Linked DNA regions of Oryzias latipes. The protein of the gene in region 3 purifies or fractionates together with the protein of the main gene of each other region. This does not show direct contact. Links are inferred from orthologs where the notes say so. Each region holds a gene or a part of one and is shown on either strand. Other genes may lie near its edges. The genes, in order: nedd9, sos1, crkl, rap guanine nucleotide exchange factor 1, gab1 and gab2.

The links.
Region 1: the proteins of crkl (region 3) and nedd9 purify together in Homo sapiens (affinity purification with western blotting; 4 studies listed by BioGRID). This does not show direct contact. The link is inferred for Oryzias latipes from reciprocal best matches to the Homo sapiens genes CRKL and NEDD9.
Region 2: the proteins of crkl (region 3) and sos1 purify together in Homo sapiens (affinity purification with mass spectrometry; 3 studies listed by BioGRID and IntAct, with this or other methods). This does not show direct contact. The link is inferred for Oryzias latipes from reciprocal best matches to the Homo sapiens genes CRKL and SOS1.
Region 4: the proteins of crkl (region 3) and rap guanine nucleotide exchange factor 1 purify together in Homo sapiens (affinity purification with western blotting; 16 studies listed by BioGRID and IntAct, with this or other methods). This does not show direct contact. The link is inferred for Oryzias latipes from reciprocal best matches to the Homo sapiens genes CRKL and RAPGEF1.
Region 5: the proteins of crkl (region 3) and gab1 purify together in Homo sapiens (affinity purification with western blotting; 3 studies listed by BioGRID and IntAct, with this or other methods). This does not show direct contact. The link is inferred for Oryzias latipes from reciprocal best matches to the Homo sapiens genes CRKL and GAB1.
Region 6: the proteins of crkl (region 3) and gab2 purify together in Homo sapiens (affinity purification with western blotting; 3 studies listed by BioGRID). This does not show direct contact. The link is inferred for Oryzias latipes from reciprocal best matches to the Homo sapiens genes CRKL and GAB2.

The regions. Positions count from the first base shown.
Region 1 is NC_019869.2:19,397,688-19,401,187, forward strand, and holds part of nedd9 (enhancer of filamentation 1), read right to left. Parts: intron 2,310-3,500; coding exon 1,932-2,309; intron 1-1,931. UniProt on the Homo sapiens protein: Scaffolding protein which plays a central coordinating role for tyrosine-kinase-based signaling related to cell adhesion. As a focal adhesion protein, plays a role in embryonic fibroblast migration.
Region 2 is NC_019859.2:117,276-121,269, reverse strand, and holds the start of sos1 (son of sevenless homolog 1), read left to right. Parts: upstream 1-1,194; 5' UTR 1,195-1,649; coding exon 1,650-1,736; intron 1,737-3,007; coding exon 3,008-3,133; intron 3,134-3,438; coding exon 3,439-3,570; intron 3,571-3,779; coding exon 3,780-3,944; intron 3,945-3,994. Other genes in the region: tmem178a (transmembrane protein 178A), read left to right, coding at 1-131.
Region 3 is NC_019870.2:17,501,609-17,505,653, reverse strand, and holds the start of crkl (crk-like protein), read right to left. Parts: upstream 2,801-4,045; 5' UTR 2,003-2,800; coding exon 1,692-2,002; intron 274-1,691; coding exon 1-273. UniProt on the Homo sapiens protein: May mediate the transduction of intracellular signals.
Region 4 is NC_019870.2:8,075,448-8,078,947, reverse strand, and holds part of rap guanine nucleotide exchange factor 1, read right to left. Parts: intron 1,875-3,500; coding exon 1,718-1,874; intron 1,617-1,717; coding exon 1,528-1,616; intron 1,446-1,527; coding exon 1,290-1,445; intron 339-1,289; coding exon 288-338; intron 1-287. UniProt on the Homo sapiens protein: Guanine nucleotide-releasing protein that binds to SH3 domain of CRK and GRB2/ASH. Transduces signals from CRK to activate RAS. Involved in cell branching and adhesion mediated by BCAR1-CRK-RAPGEF1 signaling and activation of RAP1.
Region 5 is NC_019859.2:18,118,041-18,121,540, reverse strand, and holds part of gab1 (GRB2-associated-binding protein 1), read left to right. Parts: intron 1-112; coding exon 113-241; intron 242-1,645; coding exon 1,646-1,811; intron 1,812-3,500. UniProt on the Homo sapiens protein: Adapter protein that plays a role in intracellular signaling cascades triggered by activated receptor-type kinases. Plays a role in FGFR1 signaling. Probably involved in signaling by the epidermal growth factor receptor (EGFR) and the insulin receptor (INSR).
Region 6 is NC_019871.2:6,604,121-6,607,620, reverse strand, and holds part of gab2 (GRB2-associated-binding protein 2), read left to right. Parts: intron 1-50; coding exon 51-351; intron 352-3,500. UniProt on the Homo sapiens protein: Adapter protein which acts downstream of several membrane receptors including cytokine, antigen, hormone, cell matrix and growth factor receptors to regulate multiple signaling pathways.

The DNA.
Region 1 (3,500 bases), on a different chromosome or scaffold from region 3:
GAGGAGATGCACGCCAATAAGAACAGCGTCAAAGGAAGCCATCCAGGTTTCCTGCCTCGAGGCGGACTTTTGTCACCCCCCCCCCTCCCATGCGCTCCCTGGATGCTTATCAGCACTTCCTCTATCTCTTGAGCTTTTGTTAAAGCAGAAAGTCTTTATGGCACCAATAAGCAAACCGATCTTTGAGGAGGAGACCAAACAAGGAGCAGAGGTAGGAGACCAGGGGTCAGAGAGGGGGGGGTCTGGAGGGAGCAGACAGGACCGGCTGTCATTGTCATCGCCTCAGTTAAAAAAAGAAAGAAGGGTGGCCAGATAGCCTAGAATTACACACCTTTCAAAGCTGCAGACCCCCCCCCCATCCCCATCTCTCCAAAAGGGGAGGAGTATCTCTCTGTGCATCCAGAGAGTGGAGCTCAGAGGGGGGGGGGCTGTTACATCAAACCCAACAAGCTGAGAGGCGGCGAGTGCCAAACCTCAGATACCTCTGTGTGCTAGAACCTCTGCCAGGAAGAAAAATAAGCAGGCGGGGGCCAACGTGTGACCTGGAGGACCCAAGAGCATCACGTCACAAAAGAAACCAGTTTTTGAGGGAGGGAGGGAGGGAGGGAGGGAGGGAGGGAGGGAGGGAGGGAGGGAGCACTGTGGGTCCGGTAATGGGACTCAGAAATCAAATCAAGAAACTTAAAAAACAGTGAGCAGAGAAGCTCAGAAAAGTCAGAAATGTCTGGATGGAAAAAAGAACCATCATTTCCTTCCTGGAGATCAGATGAGCTCATGCTCTTTGAATGTTGCATCTTGGGCAATCAAGATGAGGCGCTCCTGCCAGAAAATGGAAAGTTTGTCATGCACCTCCCTTTTTACAACTTCAGTACGTAGATGATTGGCCCTGCTACCGCCGTGACGAAAGGCTGTTTGGACATTAGGTGTACGGGTTACCACGTGACTTCATTCATCTCCTGAAGGCTGATCAGCAGGAAACACACCTGCTGACAGCATGATGATGTCAGCATCAATAGATCATCATGCCTCCATAATTAGTTTTAGAGCTGACTCAGGGAATAGCAAAAAAAAAATCATTTTTTCTGCACCAGGTGAGGCAGATAAACATCTGGATTGGAAAATTCCACATATTATTTACTTTGTAGCCAAAATTTAATGTTAGTCTTTTTATTCATTTACATCTGAGCCAGTTTCCTGTAAAATTTGACAACACTATTGCCTCAAAGCAAGCTCTAAACAGGAAGAAAATACAAAAAAAGCGACTTGTCCTCTGACCAGCATACAAATAAGAGCCTGCAGCATCTCGCTACACCAGTAGAGATTACACAGTAGAGATTTTTAAACTTTTCTATGACTCCTGATTCTTCAGATTCACACTGTCGTTGTTTTTTGTGTCCTCCAAAGACACAAAAATGTCTCTCTTTGGTTCAGTGGAAAGTCTGCTTGCATGAACCAGAGACGTTCGAAGGACTCAAACCAGGAGTCTAGCATGATGCATTCATAGATCAAAAGCTTGAACCAGTTTAACATTTAAATTCTTTAAGGAAAGTGACATCTTTACACAGGAACTCTGGGAAATTGGAGTTTCCTTGCAAGGTTCTCAGGATTGAAGAAGCCTGAGTAGAGAGAGGGGGCTCTGCTTCACCAAACTAAACAGATCTGCTGTTTGCTTTTCCACAGCTGCCGCTCACATTTGCTGCCTCTCTGCAGCTCAGACTCGCTCTGCAGCGCACAGGGCGCCAACGCACCACCACCGGAAACGCCGCTGTGGTGAGTGTTGGCCCACAGCTTCTGCCTGGTCACAACTCCACCTCCCTTTATGGCCAATGCAGAGAGGGAGGCTACGCCCACTATGTTTGTTTGCCCACTTTATGCAAAAAAAATTCCAAGTTTCAGCAAAAAAAGCAAAAGAATTTTAGGTTCTGTCCTACCTTGTTGGGTGTGTTCTCGCCGCAGAGACCCCCTCGCGGTGGGACCTGGTAGACACTCTGCTGCTCTTGTGGGACCTGGTAGACATTTTGCTGCTCTGGTGGGACCTGGTAGAGCCCCTGGGCCCCTGCCCCACCTCTCTGCTGGTGGCCCTGAGGGGGAGACGGAGTGGCTGACGACGGGGCCTCAAACATGGGTCCGATGAGTAGCTTCAGGCGGTTTCCGGGGGCAATGCCCTGGCGGCCGTGCAGGGAGCAGAGCCACCAACCCTCAAGTCCCCCTGTGTTCTGCTCAATGACAGTCAAGATGTCCCCCTTCCGGAAGGCCAGCTCCTCAGGGGACTCCGGCACGTTGTCGTACAGCGCTTTGGCCATCAGATTCTGCAGAAAGGGGGAGGGGCTTAGTTTTTGATGCAGTTTACAGACTTGGATCACAGCCCGAGGGCAGCTCAGCATTCTCAGTGAACATGTGACTGGCTGCTGAGATAATCACCACAATCTGCAGATACCATGATGATAACTCTGGAGCCACCATCATGAATTCTCCTTCTTCGGCTCATTTCATGCACGCTCCATTTACCACCATTAGGACATAATTGACTAGCTCAAGGGTACATCAACATGAGGAGCAGGAAAGTGATCTTTCAGCAAACAACCAACGACTCTGCAGCAGCATCGACGCTAAACCGACACCCGCCTCTCCACAGAGGTCTTCATGGTAGAAAAATCCAAGGTGAGGTGACGGATGCAGATGAAACTGCTCACTTTTAATCCCCAGCAGCTGTAATCTCTCAGATGGATTAAAGTCCAGCATAAACAAACTGCAGAAAAACAGAAATGTAATTCCATTATAGACTCAATGCCTGTTCTACTTAGTGCACAGACCTGCTCATACGATTGAACCTCTGACACAGACACTGAACAATTGTTTGTGTTTCCTCAAAATCCTGCCATGTTTGTCTTTTGTTAACCTTTGGATTTATGTTGGCTGACTATACAGCACCTGACAGGAAAACTGGATACACCTGATCTATTTCAGAAAATACTGCAACTAAATTCAAGGTGGAGACTGTGCCGACTCTCTCTGTCCAACCTCCTGCCAGTACGAACTAGGAGAACTTGCCCTGCTGATAGTTTTACAACAAATTCATTGTTTGATGAAAAAGTGCCAAAATCAGGAGACCGGTTCTTTGGTTTGACATTCGGTTAAAAACATTAAAACAAGACTCAAGAAACTTATAAGAAAGTTTGGATCCATAAACATAAAACACATCAACGTCATCTGGAAAGACAGTTTGATGGTTTATAAGAAAATGTTGGTTCACATTTTCCTATGGATTAAGACTCATCGTTGTGTTGGTTTGAGGGTTCATGTAGAACCTAGAATCCCAAACTCAAGTCTAGATTGAGACTCATACTTCTGTTGGTTCAGATTCATGTAGATTCAGACTTATAGTTCTGTAGCCCATGGGTCCGTGGGTTCGTCTGTGTCTCTCGACAATCTAGATCAGGGAAGGGCAACTCCAGGCCTTGAGGGCCGCATTTCTGCACGTTTTCCAACAAACCTTGCTC
Region 2 (3,994 bases), on a different chromosome or scaffold from region 3:
GTTGGTCCATCTACTTCGCCTGGACAAGTCTGGGTCTGACCGTGGCTGCCGGCTGCCTTGCTACCACCTTCCCCTTCCTGAACCGGGCCCGAGCTCTGAGGTCCAAAACTGCACGGGAATCTTCTGTGTGAGCTGTTGGTGATCAGCAGGACACCGGACTCCGAGACGTGGTCCAGACTGGGCTGCAGAGGTTTTATTTACACTGGCTTCTGGACTCTTGCTGAGGGAGAACCTCAAGAGGACTCATACCTCTGCTGCAAAGCTTCTGTGGAGCATGGCGCCCCCTTCTGGGTGTCTTCGATAGGAACAGTGTTTGTAGTGTCAGAGGAACCGCCGTCCGACCCGGCTTGGACGGGTCTTACAGTGTCTGTTAGCCAGTGACCGTTTCTCATTGTGAAATTATGTATTTTGGCTGACCCCCCCCCCCTGCGGTTTTTACACAGGTGTGATCACAGGTGAAGATCTGGTGAGTTTGAATCTTGAGGGGCGGGTTCAGGTCCGATGATGGAGCCTCCTCTCTGACTGCATGGAGGCGCAGTTTTTGGCTCCAGATGAGCCCAGATCCATTTCAGCCCCCCCATCAGGCCACAGACAGGTGGGAGACACATGGGGGGGGGGGGGGGGTCGTGATCCCCATGTCCGGTCCATTGAAAAGTCAGCAGAACTTAGATGTGTCCAAACCTTTTTCACTCAACAGCACCAGATTTTTGTAAAGGTGATCAAGACACCTCCTTAGTGCAGGTAAGAAGGTCCGAACAGGGCCCCCCATACCACTTAACCTGACCCCCACCCACACACCACTTGACCCCCCCCCATTTGTAAATAAAATACTTGAAGCCCACCTGATCTCAGAGTGGTTTCTTCTCATTGGTACGGAGTCCCTCAGTTGGTTCTGGTTCTGAGTGTTGAATCTTCAAATCAGACTCCACTCTGGAACTTTGAAGCTAATGGGGGCGGAGGGGGGTTGTTACGACCCCCCCGACCCAGATCAAGGTCAGTCCTGGTTCCGGTTCTGTTTCTAACCTTCAAAAACGTACATCAGGACAGAGTTTATTATTTGAGTTCTGACCTGCACGTGCTCCTATGTTCCGGTGGTCCGATTCCCATCAGATCAGTTTGATTCTCCGCTCTACAGCAGCCCCGCCCCTGAACGTCAGCAACTACCCACTGCGCATGCTCACTATCTCGCCATGTTCGGTTCGGTCCTCCGGAGCGCTGCAGCCGTCAGCAGGTGACCGTCCGACCTTCCGGTTCGGATCCTGGTTGAGACAGACCGGGTGTCACGCGGCCCCCACCCGCAGGCGCCGCACTGGAGCCCCCCCCCCCAGCCGCAACGGTGACATGACAGCCGCGGCGCGCCGTTTGCTCCGCTGACCCCCCCCTCCGCGCCCAGTAACCGACGCAGAGACCCCCTCCCTCCCGCCGCCGGCGAGCCTGTGCTGGGAGCGCGCAGCCCGGGAGCGCGCAGCAAGCCATGCCCTCCGCCCGGTCCAGCTAGCTCCTAGCCGCGGAGCTAACGGTTAGCCGAGGATGGTGGCGGCGGTCCCGGCGGATCCCGGACGTCGTGAGGCCCCCGGCTTCAGCCGCGCAGCTGGACCCGCAAAGCCGCGCACAGAATTCACGCCAAACGGAGCCGCGTGCGTGTGAGCATGCAGACGGGCCAGCTGCAGTTCGATTTCTGCAGCGAGGACAACGCTCCGCGGTGGAGAGGCCTGCTGGTGCCCTCCCTGGAGAAGGTAGGTGCGCACGCACGCACGCACGCACGTAGGCGGCTGCTGCAGCCAGGTGTGGCCCTGCAGGTAAGCCGGGCCGTTCCGTGACAGGACGGCTGACGTCAGATGGGGGCAGCGGGGTCTGCCTGCTCCCCGGAGGCTACAGGTTCTGGACTCTTCCAGCTCACCTGGACCACTTCAGTCCCGATCCGACCTGAACCACTTCAGTCCCGATCGGACCTGGACCACTTCAGTCCCGATCCGACCTGGACCACTTCAGTCCCGATCCGACCTGGACCACTTCAGTCCCGATCCGACCTGGACCACTTCAGTCCCGATCCGACCTGGACCACTTCAGTCCCGATCCGACCTGGACTGATGTGGTTCTCTTGTGATTTAGAAGATCAACACTCTGCAAATCTGTTCCTCACTGTCCCAGAGTTCTTTGTTGGACCTCCAAAGTTGTGGGTTGGACCGGGTAGAAGCGCTCCAGGTGGCTGACCTCTGACCCTCTGGATCCATGTTTCATAAGTTCTGCTCACCATCAGAACCTCTGACCGCTGTCATCAGGCCCGCGTCCTGAGAGATCCATTTAATGATGGCAGAGTCCAGCTGGTAGGCAGAAACTACAACAGGAACTCAAAGAATGATGACAGGTTTCTGACCCACAACACGGTCTACCACCATGTGGACCTGGTTTGTAACGCTCATGGTTTCTGTGTTGGTTCTGGTTCTACTGCCAGCGGTGCATCAGGTGGAAATGTGGGAGGTTGGATGGACTGAGGTCTCCTGGGTTCAGATGATGTTCTATTGGGTCAGGACAGATGTTTGGACTCCTGCATGTATTAATTTAATGGGATTTAAAACCCAAAAGGTTAAATTATGATTAAACGACTTTAAAACTGGACTAAAATAACTGTTTGTGATCATCAGCTGTGGTTCTGGACGGGAACATTTCCAGAGAAGGTCTTCTTAGCTGCATGAAAGGAGCAGCAGGTCTGGTCTTTACCTGGTTCCTGTGGGACCAGCATGCAGACCTGAACCCGGTGTAGAGTCTGACCGTCGCCCATAAGTGGGTTTCGGCCTGTTGGTGAACATAAATTAAAAAAAAGAAACACAGAAGAAGCTAAAACCAACAGAAACTCAGAGAGAAAGGTGTCTTTCTGTCCTCCTCCACTGGGGGGCAGCACATATCCATGAGGCCTGTGTTTCTGCTTGTTCTGATCAAACCTGCTCTGTCATTTCGTTTTGTTTAATTATTGATCAAACGTTGTGTGTGTGGCTGCACGCTGCAGGTACTGAACCAGGTACACCCCAACCTGAAGTCCCAGCAGGAGGCGCTGCAGTACATCGAAGAGCTGATCCTGCTGCTGCTCAGCATGTTGTGTCAGGCCCAGCCTCGCACAGTGCAGGACGTGGAGGTGACGCACACGTGCACACATGCACAGATACACGCATGCACACATACACAGATACACACATGCACAGAAATACATGTGCACACAAACACACGTGCACACCTGCACCCATCCACACGTGCACACGTTTGCCGTGGCCACATGCATGTTCCACCAACAAGCCCTTGAAATCTCCACCAATGATTCAGACCTACAGGCTTAGGGATGCTGAAACCTGGAAACAAACCCTCTTACCTTTAGTCACCTAAGTGAGGTCAAGCCTGCAGGTCAGGTCACTTGGTCCTCACACCTTCTGTCGGTTGTCTTAGGAGAGGGTCCAGAAGAGTTTTCCTTATCCTATCGACAAGTGGGCGATTGCAGATGCTCAGGCGGCCATCGAGAAAAGGAAGAGAAGGAACCCTCTGTCTCTGCCGGTTGATAAGATCCATCCCCTGCTGAAGGTAACCGTCCTGTCAGTGTTTTCTCCATCCTCCGCTCTTGTCCATGTTTATCAGTAACTCTGACTCTCAGACAGAATCGTCTTCAGGAAGAAGCTTTGCTGTTGGCTTCCACAGAGTAGAAAGTTTGGGGAAGCGGGCCGCGGTTTGGAGCACTGAAAAGATCTCAGGACTTTTGCATCTCTCTGTCTCCCATCATGCATTGTGTTCAGGAGGTTCTGGGCTATAAGATTGAGCACCAGGTGTCCGTGTACATGGTAGCTGTGTTGGAGTACATCTCTGCTGACATCCTAAAACTTGCAGGAAACTATGTAAGAAATATCCGCCACTATGACATCACCAAGCAGGACATCACTGTGGCCATGTGTGCGGACAAGGTACATTCTAACCCCCCACGCCGTTCTAGAAACACCTGACGAACGCTGAG
Region 3 (4,045 bases):
TTGCGCGAGCCGTGGGAAGGCTGGCCAGGATGGGGGGAGGGTCGTACCAATTTCTCCACGTAGGGCACGGGGATCATCCCGACGCGTCCATCTTTATTTTTGGCACTCCACCATTGTTCCTCTGGCTTTTCCAAAATGATAAGGATCTCCCCTTTCTTGAATGGAAGGTCCTCCGCGTCACTACCAGTGAAGTCATATAGTGTCCGCACGTACTCAAAGTTATCCTCTGGACCAATCATAGACTGGACCGGACCACCAATAGTGCTTGGGTACCTGAAAAGATATGACCCAACTGAAATGTTTTGCGTAGAAGAGTGTATCAATGGTTCCTTGTTAACCCTTTAATAGACATGAAACAACACATGCTCTTCAAACTACTGTAACTCTTGGACCATTTACCCAAGTAACAAAATTCCAACAGATTCTACAGTTGAGAAAACTGGCTAAAAATGCACTGATGCTTGCACTATACATGCATCAGTTTGTAGTGAAGTGTGCAGATAATAAGTGCATTATTGTTATCTTTTCCATTAGTATGATCTCCTTTAGAGATTAAACGTTAGTTCTTGGTCACGTACTATGTTAAAAAGTGCGACTTAAACTCCAGTGTGACTAATAGATGATTTCCCCCCTTCCTTATGATGTATTGTTTAGCTGCTGCAACTTATAGTTCAGAACATATGTTAATTGCCTAAACGGTTGAAGAGTTACTGTAATTCAAGACCATCAACACAGCAGCTAAAGTTACGGTGTCAAAGGGTTAAGAAAGGTATCATCTGCATGAAGTGCACTAATGCCTTGGTGTGTAAGAGTGTGTAAAAACACTAGAATACACACGCAAATGTACTATACCCTACAGGGGTGTAACGATCAATTGCCTTAAATGATTTCCAGATCGATTTATCTGTTGTTAATAGAATTGATCTATACCATTATTAAATTATTTCAAAATGACCTTCAAATCGATACAGGAAAATACCATTTGGATTGTTTATTTTTCTATAACGTAAAAACGACCTTGAGAGAGGACAACAAACGTGATAGCGGCAAAATAAATAAATAAATAAAATAAAAAAAGATCAGTCCATCGTTCCAGTTCAATTTAAGGAACTACTATGAATTTAGCTAAGACGTCACCATTCAGTGTGGTAGAATGTTCTAAAAATGGCCTTTGTATTATTCTTATGTGGAAAAACAAAAGTGGGCTGAACTTTGTTAGACTAAAATACATTTGCCATTAATTGTTGTTTACTTGTTTGTTTGTTTGTACACATATTTAATTTACACCTGATTATCTTCCAAGAAAGACAGGGAATCTGGAAGATTTCACCTGCACTGTTGAGTATCCAAGTATTTATCTCTGAGTCGAACTGGTTGAAATTTTGGCGAAATATGTCATGGTGGATTGATTTCAGGTCAGTGGATGATCGGATCATTCAAAATGAATCAATATCGACTATGAATCGGGTTGGCAACTATGAATTATGATACAAATCGAACTGTTACACCCCCTAATGTCACACACAGTTGTGTACAGATCAGGCTAGTTATTCATGAACATCTTAGCTAATGTTAAAACAAACTCAACAGGAACTGTCCAATAACATGCTAATTCAACGACATATTTGCTGAGGAATAACAGAACAGAAAGTGGTCGTCTACCGGGATGCTGGAAGACGTCACGATCGTACCTGGATGCTGGTTCTATTAGCGTTGTTGTGTCCAGGTAATGGATTTTGTAGAACTCCAGAAGGGCTGGGAGGTTTTCGAACTCTTGATCTCCTATCTTGAACCTCTTACTGGGCAAAGAGTTGATGATATAGTGAGATACTTTGGAGTTTTCGGACACCGACAGCACGTAGTCCCCGGGACAGGTGGACGAGTCTCGCACCAGAAACATGCCGTGTCTCTGCCCCTGTAACCTGTTCTGCGCCTCCTGTCGCGACACTGGTCCGAAATACCAGGCCGAGCGATCAGACGAGTCAAATCGGGACGCGGACATTTTAAAAAAAATCTTTAAAAAATAAGTTAATATAAAGAAGAAAATGAGAACTATTGAATAAGTTAGATTCAAACGGGCCTATCGCATCCAGCTGCAGTACTTGGCAGATGCGGGGTAGGGCGTTCGTCGCCCGAGGACCCGATTAAAACAAATAAACAAAAGATCAACCTGACGTTTTCAGCGACAGGCTGCGACCGACCTGCTGATCCAGCCCGGGAGCATAATGTGACGAGCAGCTAACGGCCCCGAAACGGACGAACATCGACGGAAACTGAAGCAACAAATGATCAATAAAGCTTCCTCTCGTTGTTCCGCCTTCCGCGAAAACTCACAATTATTTAGCTTCAGTTCAGTCAGTGTCAGTTACGAGAACGGAAAGGGTGGCCTCAGGCGCGTTCCATCTCCATGTTTGCAACTAAAAACAAAAATTGTGACAGCGTAGAGAAAGAAAATACCGACTCTGTATCCTCTTGGTGTCACAAAAAGGCGGACGTCACGGAATTGGGGTGTTTAACTCCCCTTTCTCGGGTCGGAGTAGACTTTTGAGGGGGGGAAAAATGGCGGCTCGCAACACGTCTTCACACCAAAAAATGATATGACGGCCGCCGCGTGTCTGCTGCGCTCCAGTTCTCGCGTGCATTCCTCGAGTGCCCGCGAGAGATCCAGGCGTGCCGGTTCCGTGCGATATCCGTTCTCTAATTTCAGCGGGTCCCGCTTGTTTCAGCCAGCAGAAAGCGCAAGCAGGACACGGGAAAAATGGCGACGGGAGGGCTGGTCCCGCTTTCTATCTGCACGTCACGGAGGGGAGCAGGAGAGGAAGGGGTGGGGCCGTGGGCGGAGGAAAAGGTGGGCGAGTGATGACGTTTCTGGCGGGCCCACTTTGATGTGTCACTGTTGTCATTTCATGTCCCTTGCTTTTATTATTGTGAGTAAAAAAAAAGTGTGTTCATTAATTTGTTTCGGATGCCCTTGTCTATATATTCTGTAAAACTGTTCATTTTCAATAAAGTTTTCTTTTTTAATGTGCCGGTTTAAGTTTTCTTTTCTTTTTCTTCCTATTCCATTTTAGACCTGACAAAACACCAACCAAAAGATGTGCGGCCAAATTTTCAATGATCGCACGGCTAATAAACAAAAGGGAATCGTGTGAAGCAGGAGTTCCTCCATTTAACCACCATGAGCAGGGCCAGAGCTACAGGGGGGCAGAAGGGGGCAGTTGCCCCCAACCAATTTTTGAAACAGTATTATTATTTTCACAAAGATTAAGAAATCATTAATGCAAGCTTTGTTAGTAATGGCACCTCAGCAAAAAAAAAAAATGCAGTGTTGTTATTAATAACAATAATAAAACTATGAAACATGGTTAACCCTTTCATTTGTAATGGCCTTCCTCTCTGCTTATCACATTTGCCACCCAATTAAAGTCTACTGCCCCCCCATATGAAATGTTTTAAATCCACCACTGATCATAGACTAGGCTACTATTCTGAAGTAAATAAGAGAGAAAAAATAACTTAATAAAACCAAACTACTCAAATATTGTGTGAGAAATGTCACAGTATACCAGGGGTCTGCAACCTTTGGGCTGATTTTTCTCTGACGTAAACCTGGCAGGAGCTTCAGTAGAAAAGTACATCAGTGCTTTGTGTTTGTTACTGTTATTTTTATGCTAAATAGAAGTGAACCATTGTTTTTGTTGGTTTTAGCCTGAATTCATCCATCCATGCATTTCCTAAACCTGCTGAATCCCTTTCAGGTTCAGGGAGTTGCTGAATTTGTCAGAGATTTTAAAGCAAAAATTTTTAGCTACACTTTCAAAACTCCTTATATCTTAGTGCTTAGATATTTTTTATGGCTGATACCTCTGCAGATGTGTAGCTTTATAATAGACTGAGATATAGACTCGCTAAAATGAAAAAGCCCGTTTTCTCTGTTAAGTATCTCTAAAGGAGAAAAAAGCATGTTTCTCTTATTTCATTTCCTGATGTTTCTTAACTTCCCCTTTCACTCGATCTTAATGTATATATGGTCTGGAATTGGACG
Region 4 (3,500 bases), about 9.4 Mb from region 3:
AAACCGAAACACTCTAAGGGAGTCAATTTTAGGATTGGGGGGCAGGAGCGAACTCAAGCGACCACGATATGAAGACTTGCGAAATGACACGTCGTAGGTCAGTCACACACAGTCATGCACTCGACCACCCCTGATTGGATGATGGGCTCTCCAGGAAACAAGGACACAAACATTGGAAGGGGGGATGCAAACATGCAAGTCGACAGCTTTCATCCAATTCAGAAGCTTCATGGGGTTCGAGGGTGGGATGTTATTATGGAACTGGATGAACCCATGGGCTGACATACTTCTCCTTCTGAGAGGGTCTCCTTTGGCCAGCGTCAGCATTCAACTGCGCTCTGCTCCCAGAATCCAAAGGGAGACCAGGGATGAAAGAGACACATCACAAAGAGTGAGGAAGGAGGAAGAGCAACAGACAAAATGATCACGATTTTAAACCTCAAGTGTGATAAAGCCAAAATAATAAAGATCGGAAAAAAGATTAAAGACCCACTCTGATGAAAATTGTGTTTATGAAGTTTTTAACATGACATATATTAATAAAAGTAAGCGTAAAATTCCCAGTTCTGATTATTTATTTATTCAAAACTTATTTATTCTATGCTGTAAAATACGCTGGACAGTCCACAAACTCCATGCTCCACTCCATTCTGATGCATCCACCTGCAGACTAGATTAATGTACGTCTTTGTTTTTCTCCTCTGAGCTGGCATTTGGCTCCAAAGTATAGATCTGAATGGCTCTGATATTGCTAGTTATTTTTTTTTTTCCACCGGTGATGTTAGGTCGGGGTTGAGAAGGGCTTTAAGTTGGCAGAAGAACACGTAGACAGAACTACTTCTGCTCTGCAGAAACTATGCTCAAGAAAACAAAGCAGGGTTTTTTTGTTTTTGGCCAAAAACAGCATATTCAAAATATAAAAGACCGCTTGGAATGCTTCTAAAATAGATCAAAGACGATCAGTGTGGGTCTTTAAACAGAATTTTGCGTACGTTCTCTTAGACGTTTTTTTTTTGTGTGTGAACGAAATAAATGAAGGACCAACTCATGTGAGCACAACAGAAAGTAAAAAAAAAAGGGAAATCATGAATCCAGTCATTTCCTAAAAAGTTCCAAAAGTCCCCCAGAAAATGGACATGACTCCTAAGCACTGTGGGTAATCTTTCATTGAAGCTGCCTCCTAACTGAAACATTTGATAAACCACCTGAATCCACAAGTTTAGACTTCCGAAACGAGAACATGCAAAGAAAATGTGTAATATTTCTTCTCCACAATTCAACATCCTCACCTAAGCTCGGCAATTTTGGCTTCTGGAAGCGGGGGTTTGGGAGGGGCCACATCCTCATCTGCCAATTCAGGGGCAGACTCTGCAGGAGAAGCAGCTGGTGCTGCCTTCTTTGAGACTTCCTGCTCCCGATCTATTAGATGCGTCTCCGATGACACACTGTTGTGCACACAAAGCAGAGAGAGCGAGTTAATTAACTGCTCTGATTGAGTCTGCTCATCCCAGCATGCTTTGCTCTAACCTCTCCGCTGGGGCAACAGGTGGTGCCGGTTTGTTAGGGGTGGTGGGCGATGGCTGCTCCTGTTTCTCTATGGTCAGCTTCACCAGCTCCTATTTTTGAGACAGACACAGGCAGCTTCAGCCTTCTGAATGAATGCGACACAGATTGATGTTAACACGTCCTACAGGCTCTCTGGCAGGGAAAGGCCCACCTTGACTCCATCCAGCACTGCCTTGATGACACTGGTGACAGCTGCCACGTTCTCCTTGTCCTCCAAGTCGATGCCGTCCAGCATGACCTGGTCGGCCCAACGGATGAGGTTGCCCAAACTCTGGTAGACGCGGCTGTGGCAGGAAGTCAGCGCCGTACTATTGACGAGAGGGGAGACATCAATAAACAGGACGCTATTAAAACAATTGTAAGACAAAATGTGGCGAGATTGATTGACTGATTTAAAGCATTGTAGTCAATACAATAAAAAATTAAAATGCATAGATAGAAAAAAAACCACACACACTTGAGTCACATTTGCTTGATTAAATGTAGTGATCATAAACTAAAGTCAAGTAGAGCTTGATTTATTGCTTAAAAAGGAGTGGGAAGAAGTGATCTTATATAATAGCGAGTCAATTCTTTTTATAGTTTTACATAGATTTTGTAATCCGGTTCTGATGCGTTAGATTCTTTTCAAGTTACAAAATCAAGTGAATATTAATGATTGATTATCTTCAGAAAGCATTCATTCATGATTTCAGTAAACAGTAACTGTAACTTACATGAGATCAAGTGTGGAGAAAAGAAATGGATCAAATTAAAATTAATGCAAGATAAAGAAACAATTAAAACTGATGACGATTAAAGACAGGAAGCACTGTTTGTTAGTGGTGGATATTGTGCATGTAAGAACGTTGGAAATTTTGTTTGCGGTCTCTAAAAGTAGTTTGAGAGTGCATTCCATTTTTAAAAGAAGAGAGGAACATTATATCATAATAGGAGTGGTATTTTTATGTTTGAATTAAGCAGATAAAAAACTAATGTAAAATGGAGATGTCCTTCTGTTTTGGAACAAACTTTAGGAATATTTTGGTTAAATGTTTTATAGTAGTAAATACTGCGAAAACGTTTCGGCTATTGTTGAAAAGTCAAATAAGTGTGAGATACAAGCCAAATGAATGTGTGTATTAGCAAATATGCATGTTTTTGTGAATAGGCGTAGTATTTTTATTATATGTATGTGGCATAATTGTTACATTGATAATTCGGCTCTGTTGTTGCATGAACTGTAACCTTATTTTTTATGTTTATCGACAAACATAATGCTTCAGTCCCTTTTTTATGATTCCTATTTATGATTAAATAGGAAAGTGAAGTAGTGAAGTAGTGAACTGTGACGTTTTAAAGACCCACTCGGATTAGAAATTGTATTTCTGGTGTTTTTAGAAGGCTCTTGTTGCATTTTTCTGATGCATTGTTGCATTTTCTGATTTTTCGGCACCAGTAATGTTAGGTTGGGGGTGGTAGGGGTTGCTCTGCTCTTGGTCTTGCTCACAACTACTACACTGATTTTGGAAGTATTTTTTTATTTTTATTTTTTTAACTGAAAGTGACCAGAGAAGTTTTAGCCCACTGGATAGAATAGCTTTGCTGTCCGGACGCTCTCCCACTAGGCCACTGAGCTGGTAACACGGACAGCAGAAATGCACAGCTACAACGGTAGAGGTTAATATAAGCTCCCTTGCGCTAACAATAGAGAGTCTAAGCACTCGAGGAAGTGGGGTGTTGTTTCTCCCAGTAGCTGAGGGTACATTCAGACCTTAACACTAAGGTGTGGCAAAGGCCTGTATCAACATGCTGCAGCTGATTCACACACAGGGGGAATATCTTTCCACCGTCTCCACAGGGCTTAGCTCTAAAGTGAGTGGAAGACAGCTGAAGCTCTGGGAATTAGAAGGACTCTGTAGATGGAGACGCACAAGTTGTAATGCAGTTCAATG
Region 5 (3,500 bases), on a different chromosome or scaffold from region 3:
TGAAAATGACATAAATAAAGCTTTTGGTCAGCTTGTGGTCATCTGGGAATGAAACAGTCAGTGTGAGAACATGCGTATAACCTTTGGCCTCATTTTTGTGCTTACCCTGCAGGCATGGAAGAAGCGATGGTTTGTTCTTCGCAGTGGCCGTCTAACAGGCGACCCAGACGTCTTGGAGTATTACAAGAATGACCACACCAAGAAGCCTATTCGTGTAATAGATCTCAACTTGTGTGAGCAGGTATTACTCCTTGTTCCATGGGAAACACTCGATTTGTGTTGTGACAGTTTTGCTGTAGATGCAGTGGAGATACTTGCTACGTTCTTTTTCTTTTCTTTCTTAAATGAGGGTTTGTTTAAAGCCTGCTAGTCTAGCTTTATAGTTCATTCCACATTTTTTTACATTTATGTAAGCCATTATATTTGTGAAAATGAACACTTCTTGGGAACTTCAGTATAACTTGGTAGGTAAGGCTGTTTGTATAACTGGGGGTGGGGTGAAGGGTTGATTCGGACTTAACCAGAGATATAGTATCAATTAACTAAGCTAAATAATACACAATATAATCACTATGACTTAGAAATGACTCAAAAAACTAAAATTGCAACAGTAAAGCCTAATTTATTCAAAGTTTAATTGTGTGGCTAAATGTTTTATGGATGAAGAATGAGGGGGGGAAAACAGAAGGAAAACTTCCAAGAAATGTAGGGAAATCTTTACTTTTAGCCATTATAAAGTTGTTTACAGTATGATTATTATTTATATGTTCTATTCATTCAGTTACCTTTTCATGTAATATTGAGGACCAAAAGAATTGGCACACACGAAATAATTAAACATTTATTTTAAAAAAAATCAATAGTTGCATCATCCAGAACTAAGTTCATCATTCTAAAATATTTCAAGTAAAAAGAAAATAGTAAAAACAAACAGCAAAATGTATTAACCACTGGGTAGTTTTTAATTCTAATCATGTTTTCTCACTCCACTTTTTTTAAATACCATTTCTTAGCAGTGACTTAGTACCTGAACATAATGAAAAGGACTCCTAGAAAAACAAGAATAGAGTCTGAGTCAGAAAGTTTCTGGAAGATGTTATATCACAATGCCTAAAATGCACAAAAACCAGTGAGAATCTCTGACAAGTGATGGTAGTTAAAATGGTTCATGGTTACTTGGGAAGCTCTACAAAACATCATGGTAAAGTAAACAACCCCCAAAAAAATTAAAAAACTCAAGTAAAACCACTTGCATACAATTTAAAAACAATTTTGAAACAGTAAATGAAAATGATAAAATCATTATTTTAGCACGTGTTAAAAAACAGTCTGGGGGCAGTTCTGTTTTTTTTTCTTTCTGAATTAGGCTTAAGGAGGAAGTGTAAGTGTTGCCCTTTGCTATGTCCAGGAGCAGCTGATTAGCTGACCCAAGGGACTGGGAGAGAGGTGTGTGCCTGTAAGAGCTCAGAGTTCAGGGCAAGGCCACTGAAAGCATAAAAACAATTAAGTCTCTTAAACGAACAGGCAAAAAAACCAAGACTTGTTCACCAAACTGTATTTTTTGTTATTAACACAGATCAAACTCAGTCACCTTGATACTGAACCACTATGTTGTAAGACAAACTCTGTTGACGTCTCACCCTAGGTTGATGCTGGGCTGACGTTTAGCAAGAAGGATTTGGAGCACAGCTTCATTTTCGACATTAAGACCATCGACCGTGTCTTTTACCTGGTGGCTGACACTGAGGAAGAAATGAACAAGTGGGTTCGCCACATCTGTGACATCTGTGGTTTTAACCCCACTGACGATGGTAAGCGTTGCCCCATAAGTCGTTATTGTACTCCTAACAATTACAAGTCCTGTTACTGTTGTGTCAATGTTCGTTTCAGGGAAGTTGAATACTCTACAGTAAACAAAACTGATTATTGTTAAGCAGAAACAATGTTTTAACATTAGCTATTTTATTAATCAGCCAAAAAAAAACTTAAAAGTCAAAACGACTCCCTAACCATTTGTAATGTGAGTTAAAGAGCAACATGACATTTTTTTTTCCATTTAGCTTTCAGGATTTATTTATTTATGGGAAATTAATAACTCGCTGCTCTAAACTTGAAATCTCCTCAGCAACAGTTTTTTATTCAAAAGTTGTTGTTTGACAATACTTCTTACCATCCTGCACCAGGCCTTTTGTTAGTTTTTGGTAAAATGCATACACAAAGAGCACTGTAACAAGCATTTTTCGTCTTTTAATTGTCTGTAGTATAGGGCAAAAATCGTAATACAAAAGTCTTTATGTGAAAATGAATCTAAAGTTTTAAAAATCCGACTTTAGTTTGCTGGTGCTTTGAACATGTTTTTTTAAGGAGACCTATATGTCCAGTGATATGAGATCCTTGAACTCCTCCACACAGTCAAGCTCCACTTCTCCTAGGAACCCACCAGATGGATGACATTTTAGCTATTTTATTTTTATTGGTAAATATAATCATAGTTCTGTTGTTGTCCATTAACATGTATGAGTTAATGAGCCACTGCTGAATATTTCCAAGTTCTGCTATAAAAGTTGTAAATATTTTCTGTTTGCTATTAGCATAATCAAAGCCCCAAGTACTTTATAAGTCTTTCAGCCCTTTTTTTCTTCTAGTTCCAATTTCTCTTGCTCCTTAGCAGTAAAATGCATCAGCTTTTAAGTGAGGTTTGACATAAGGGACTGCACAGGTTCTTTTTAGAAGAGGACACTTGTCAAAGTTGTCAAGTGACTCATTGGTTATGGTGCTCTGTCATCCTTGCAGCAGCTATGCCTCAAGTTCAGGAAAAAAATACTAACATTGAGCTCCTCTTGAACAGAATTTTTCATATTGGCTCTTTAAAGACGCACAAGCTAACAGACTTTTCAAGGATAAAAATTGAGACATATTTTTTTTTTCAGATAGGCCTCTTTGGCTGTTATTGTAAAAGAATGTCCTTGGCTCTCTTTCTGTTTGCACTTCTCTGTGTGTGAGACCCAGCTCCCACTCCTCTGTAATGTGTGGCCACACTACACGCAGAGCGCTTCAGAGCCGAGCAGATATTAGAGGAAGGAACATTAGGAAAGCTGGAGGAATGGAAGCTCTCAGAGATGGTGTAGGTGGTATAGATTAGTACTTTCACACACATAAAAAAAGCATTCCCCCCTTTTTTTTCTCTGCAGATTCTTACACAAAACCTAAATAGCAAAAAGGAGCGAACACAAGTGCCGGAATTGACTAGAAATGTTTTTATTAACTCAAAACTGCTTTTGTTTTACAACAAAAAATAGGATTGCTTGGATTATAAGCAGTCATCTTTGTTCACATTTTAGGAGAACAACTCAAGCAGACATTTTTTTTAAAAGATTGGAAATATGGTAACTCTCCCTGTTACAAAGCACAGACCTTGGTGAGGAACTGTATTTATCTAGTGTGGGAAGAAAAACAACAAAACATACAGGCCAAATATCCCAACAATCTACAAATGCCAG
Region 6 (3,500 bases), on a different chromosome or scaffold from region 3:
TACCCAACTAGTGCTCAGTCCCGTCTTTTTTTTCTCCATTTCATCTCCAGGCATGGAAGAAGCGTTGGTTCATTCTCCGCAGCGGCCGCATGAGCGGCGACCCAGACGTCCTGGAGTACTACAAGAACGACCACTCCAAGAAGCCCATAAGGGTCATCGACCTGCACTGCTGCGAGCAGGTGGACGCCGGCCTGACCTTTAAGAGGAAGGAGTTCCAGGACAGCTTTGTTTTCGACATTAAGACTTCCGATCGGACCTTTTATCTTGTTGCTGAGACTGAGGAGGAGATGAACAAGTGGGTCCGCTCCATCTGCCAGCTGTGTGGTTTTAACCAGGCGGACGACACTCACGGTAGCCACACCTGTGCCATACCTTTCATCTGTCCTCTGTTTGACCTGTTTTTGGTAACCTCATAAGCTCCTTGAATTACCATAACTCTTTGACCATTCACGCAATTAATGTAATTCCAACGGATTTGCAAGCAGCTTTTCCACTGTCGCACATCAACGAAAGCTCAGTTTCCATTGGAATTATGTTTATTGTCTGACCAGTTGAAGAGTTGCAGTAACTCAAAAAGCATCGACATCAGAACTATAGCTCCAGTATTGAAAGGTTTAACATAGATGCACCAAAGGTTCTTTATAATTTTGAGCTGTAGCCTAACACTCTACTCTTCCCCAACTTTTTCTAAGTATTTATAAAGATATTATTGATGCGTGTAGTACTTTTAATGTGGTTTTAACACCTCGACAGTCTGGTCTTCAAGTGTTGAAAATTCAGAGCGACAGTTCTGTGCAGACTTTGACAGAACTTCTGTCAAAGTCTGTGTAACAAATATGCCAGTTTCTTTATCTGTTATTTTGTATTGCAAAATATGTTGAGGTTCTTCATTATGACACTCTTTCTTCCTTTTTAAAAAAAAAAAAATTCTTGGAACAGTTGGCATCTTTATTGTCACACACTTTTAAGCAAGTGTTTGGACAAATGCTGACTCATCTTTTTACGATGTTTAAACATCCCAGGGAAACATTAAGAGAGTTTTTGGGGCTATTTTGGATTTTCTCTTCATTTATTTTGCTTAAATAGAATAGAAAGTACGTCACGCTTGCTAGAGAATATACTTGAACTCTTAATTAAGTATTTTTCCAGAAAAAAATTAGAAATGTTTTCCAGTATTGGTGCGATAGCTTCCAGACTGAAAACATAAAGATTTTTTTAAGAATTCACTCACTAACTCCGAACTCCTTCCATCCATTCATCTCCTGCATTTGCTCTATCTCTGTCGGGGTCACAGGGCTGCTGGAACCAACCAAGCTAATGTAGAGCAAAGACGGGATACATCCCGAACAAGTCACCAGTCAGTTGCAGCTCCCTTTTCCCCAAAAGCTTATATAGTGCCGGACTTTTCAGTCCCCAGGATTTGAATGCAATTCAGACACACTACTAATTTTTTCTTTTTGAATGCCAAATATGACGTCATCAATTTGACTTGCCATTGCAAATGACAAATTGTTCAAATGCAATGCATTGTGGTCTATATTTGCCACTCTAGTGGACACTGGTTTTTAGCAGAGACCTATGGGATATTTCTAGGGTACTGTGTTTCTGAATTGTGGATTTGGACACCCAGACAAAGTGGCAAACACCGTATAGCAGGGAGTGCTCCAAGCCTGGAGTTCTAGACCATGCCCCCCCCCCCCCCCCCCGCTATGTTGTGGTTTACCTTTTGCGGTTTTGTGGATATTTGTCATAGCTATTTTCCATGCCCTTTTTTTTATCTGCATGATCCTGATTGGCTGTGGACATTGTTAATCACTTTCCTCCGTGCCGCATCCCCTGTACAGGATGTTAAGTTTGCTAAACCTACAGAAATCAGATTTGCATAAAGTGTGTAGTGAGGAGTCTTACAGCCTTAAAACAGCTGTAATTCTACTTTGGGGATTTCACTTATTGTGGGTTATTTTTAGAATGGAACCACTGCAATAAACGAGGGACCGCTGTAACGCGTAACAATGGACTTCACCTCCTTGGTTAACTGGTATCTTTTGCTGTATGTAAACATAACCTGGGCCGATGACTCACTACTACAGACCTGAGCTCTTTGTCGTTGGGAGGCGTCGTGTGTGCTAACACTTTCCCTAAGCGTGTGATTATGGATCCATGTTGACAGTAAACAAAAATAGTTCACTGCATCCGCCCTTTTACCTAACGCCAGCAGTTTATCCACCTGCAAGATCCCGAGCATAAAGCCGGTGGTTGTGTAAACTCCAGAGTGTGTTCTTCTCATCCAGATTGCTTGCACGCTGCAGTCTTCCCGCCATCTGGCAGCTGGTGGACGTTAATCTTGGCGCACATGGTTGATCATCTGTAACATGCAATATGTCCAGGTGTGGACTTGAAAAACAGACACGGAGAGCGCAATGATCTTTCATCGTGATAAGATCCCCCCGGCCCATATTGAGTAATTAGCGAGGTGCTCCTGTAGATTTCAAACTGCATTAACTCAAGCTGGCAGGGTGTGGCTGCAGGAGGAGAGCTGCAGACGGAACTCGTGTCGTCCTTTTGCAGACAAATGTTTTGCTCTTTTCTCAGAGAAGCTTTGCTGTGTGTCCATCAAAAATGCATTTTCTTGAGAACTCGAGTTTCTTTTTCCTAGCATCCTTGTGTGTGTGTGTGTGTGTGAGCAAAAAACAAACAAACCACAAAGTACCACAAGTCTGGGTTTCCAAGCAGTAACACCATCTGAAGGCTCTTTTTTTAATCTGCAAACCAAAGCAAATGATTTCTCTGAGTGTACTCAGCATGATCAGAAAAATGTTAGAAATGCACGTCTTTGGGAGAAGATCGTTTAAAATAAACCTGTTGTTTTCTAAGAAATACAACTGTTAGCTGTTTGTTGGTTTGATTAGAGAGAAGAAGAAAAAAAATCTGTGTTTCGTCTTTCTGGTTTCCGTTCCATTTTCTGGTTGTAAATAGCCCCACAAACTGGAGACACTTTTTAAGTGCAACCCAAGTAACATGCAAGGTCTGCCTTGTGAGACCTGCTTTGCTCAAAAAAACTTTTAAGTTCAGTTTTCACCATGGATTGAATGGACTTTTAATGCAGATGATGTCTGCTTTTCATCTGCCTGCTCGTCTTTGGTGTTGGTGTTTTCAATGGTGATGGAAAGTGACGCTCATCCTCTTTCATGTTTATGTTCCCGCTGCTTTATTGTGATTTTTGTACATTACAGGAAAGCAAAACCAACCGAATGACTGAAACTTAACTGTCTGTGTTAATGCAAACAGACCCTGCAATGATCTGTATAGTGGAAGGTTTTCTTTACCTTACAATCACCCCACGCCTTTTTGATTTGAGCAAACAATACTTAATGTTAGAACTTTCTGGTCAATTGTCAAACACAAGAAGTCATTACTGTGTTTTTTGGGCATGCCTAAAAAAAGAAGTTCCAGTCACATAGCTTAAATGTATGTATCACTGCACTGGCTTCTTTAAAACA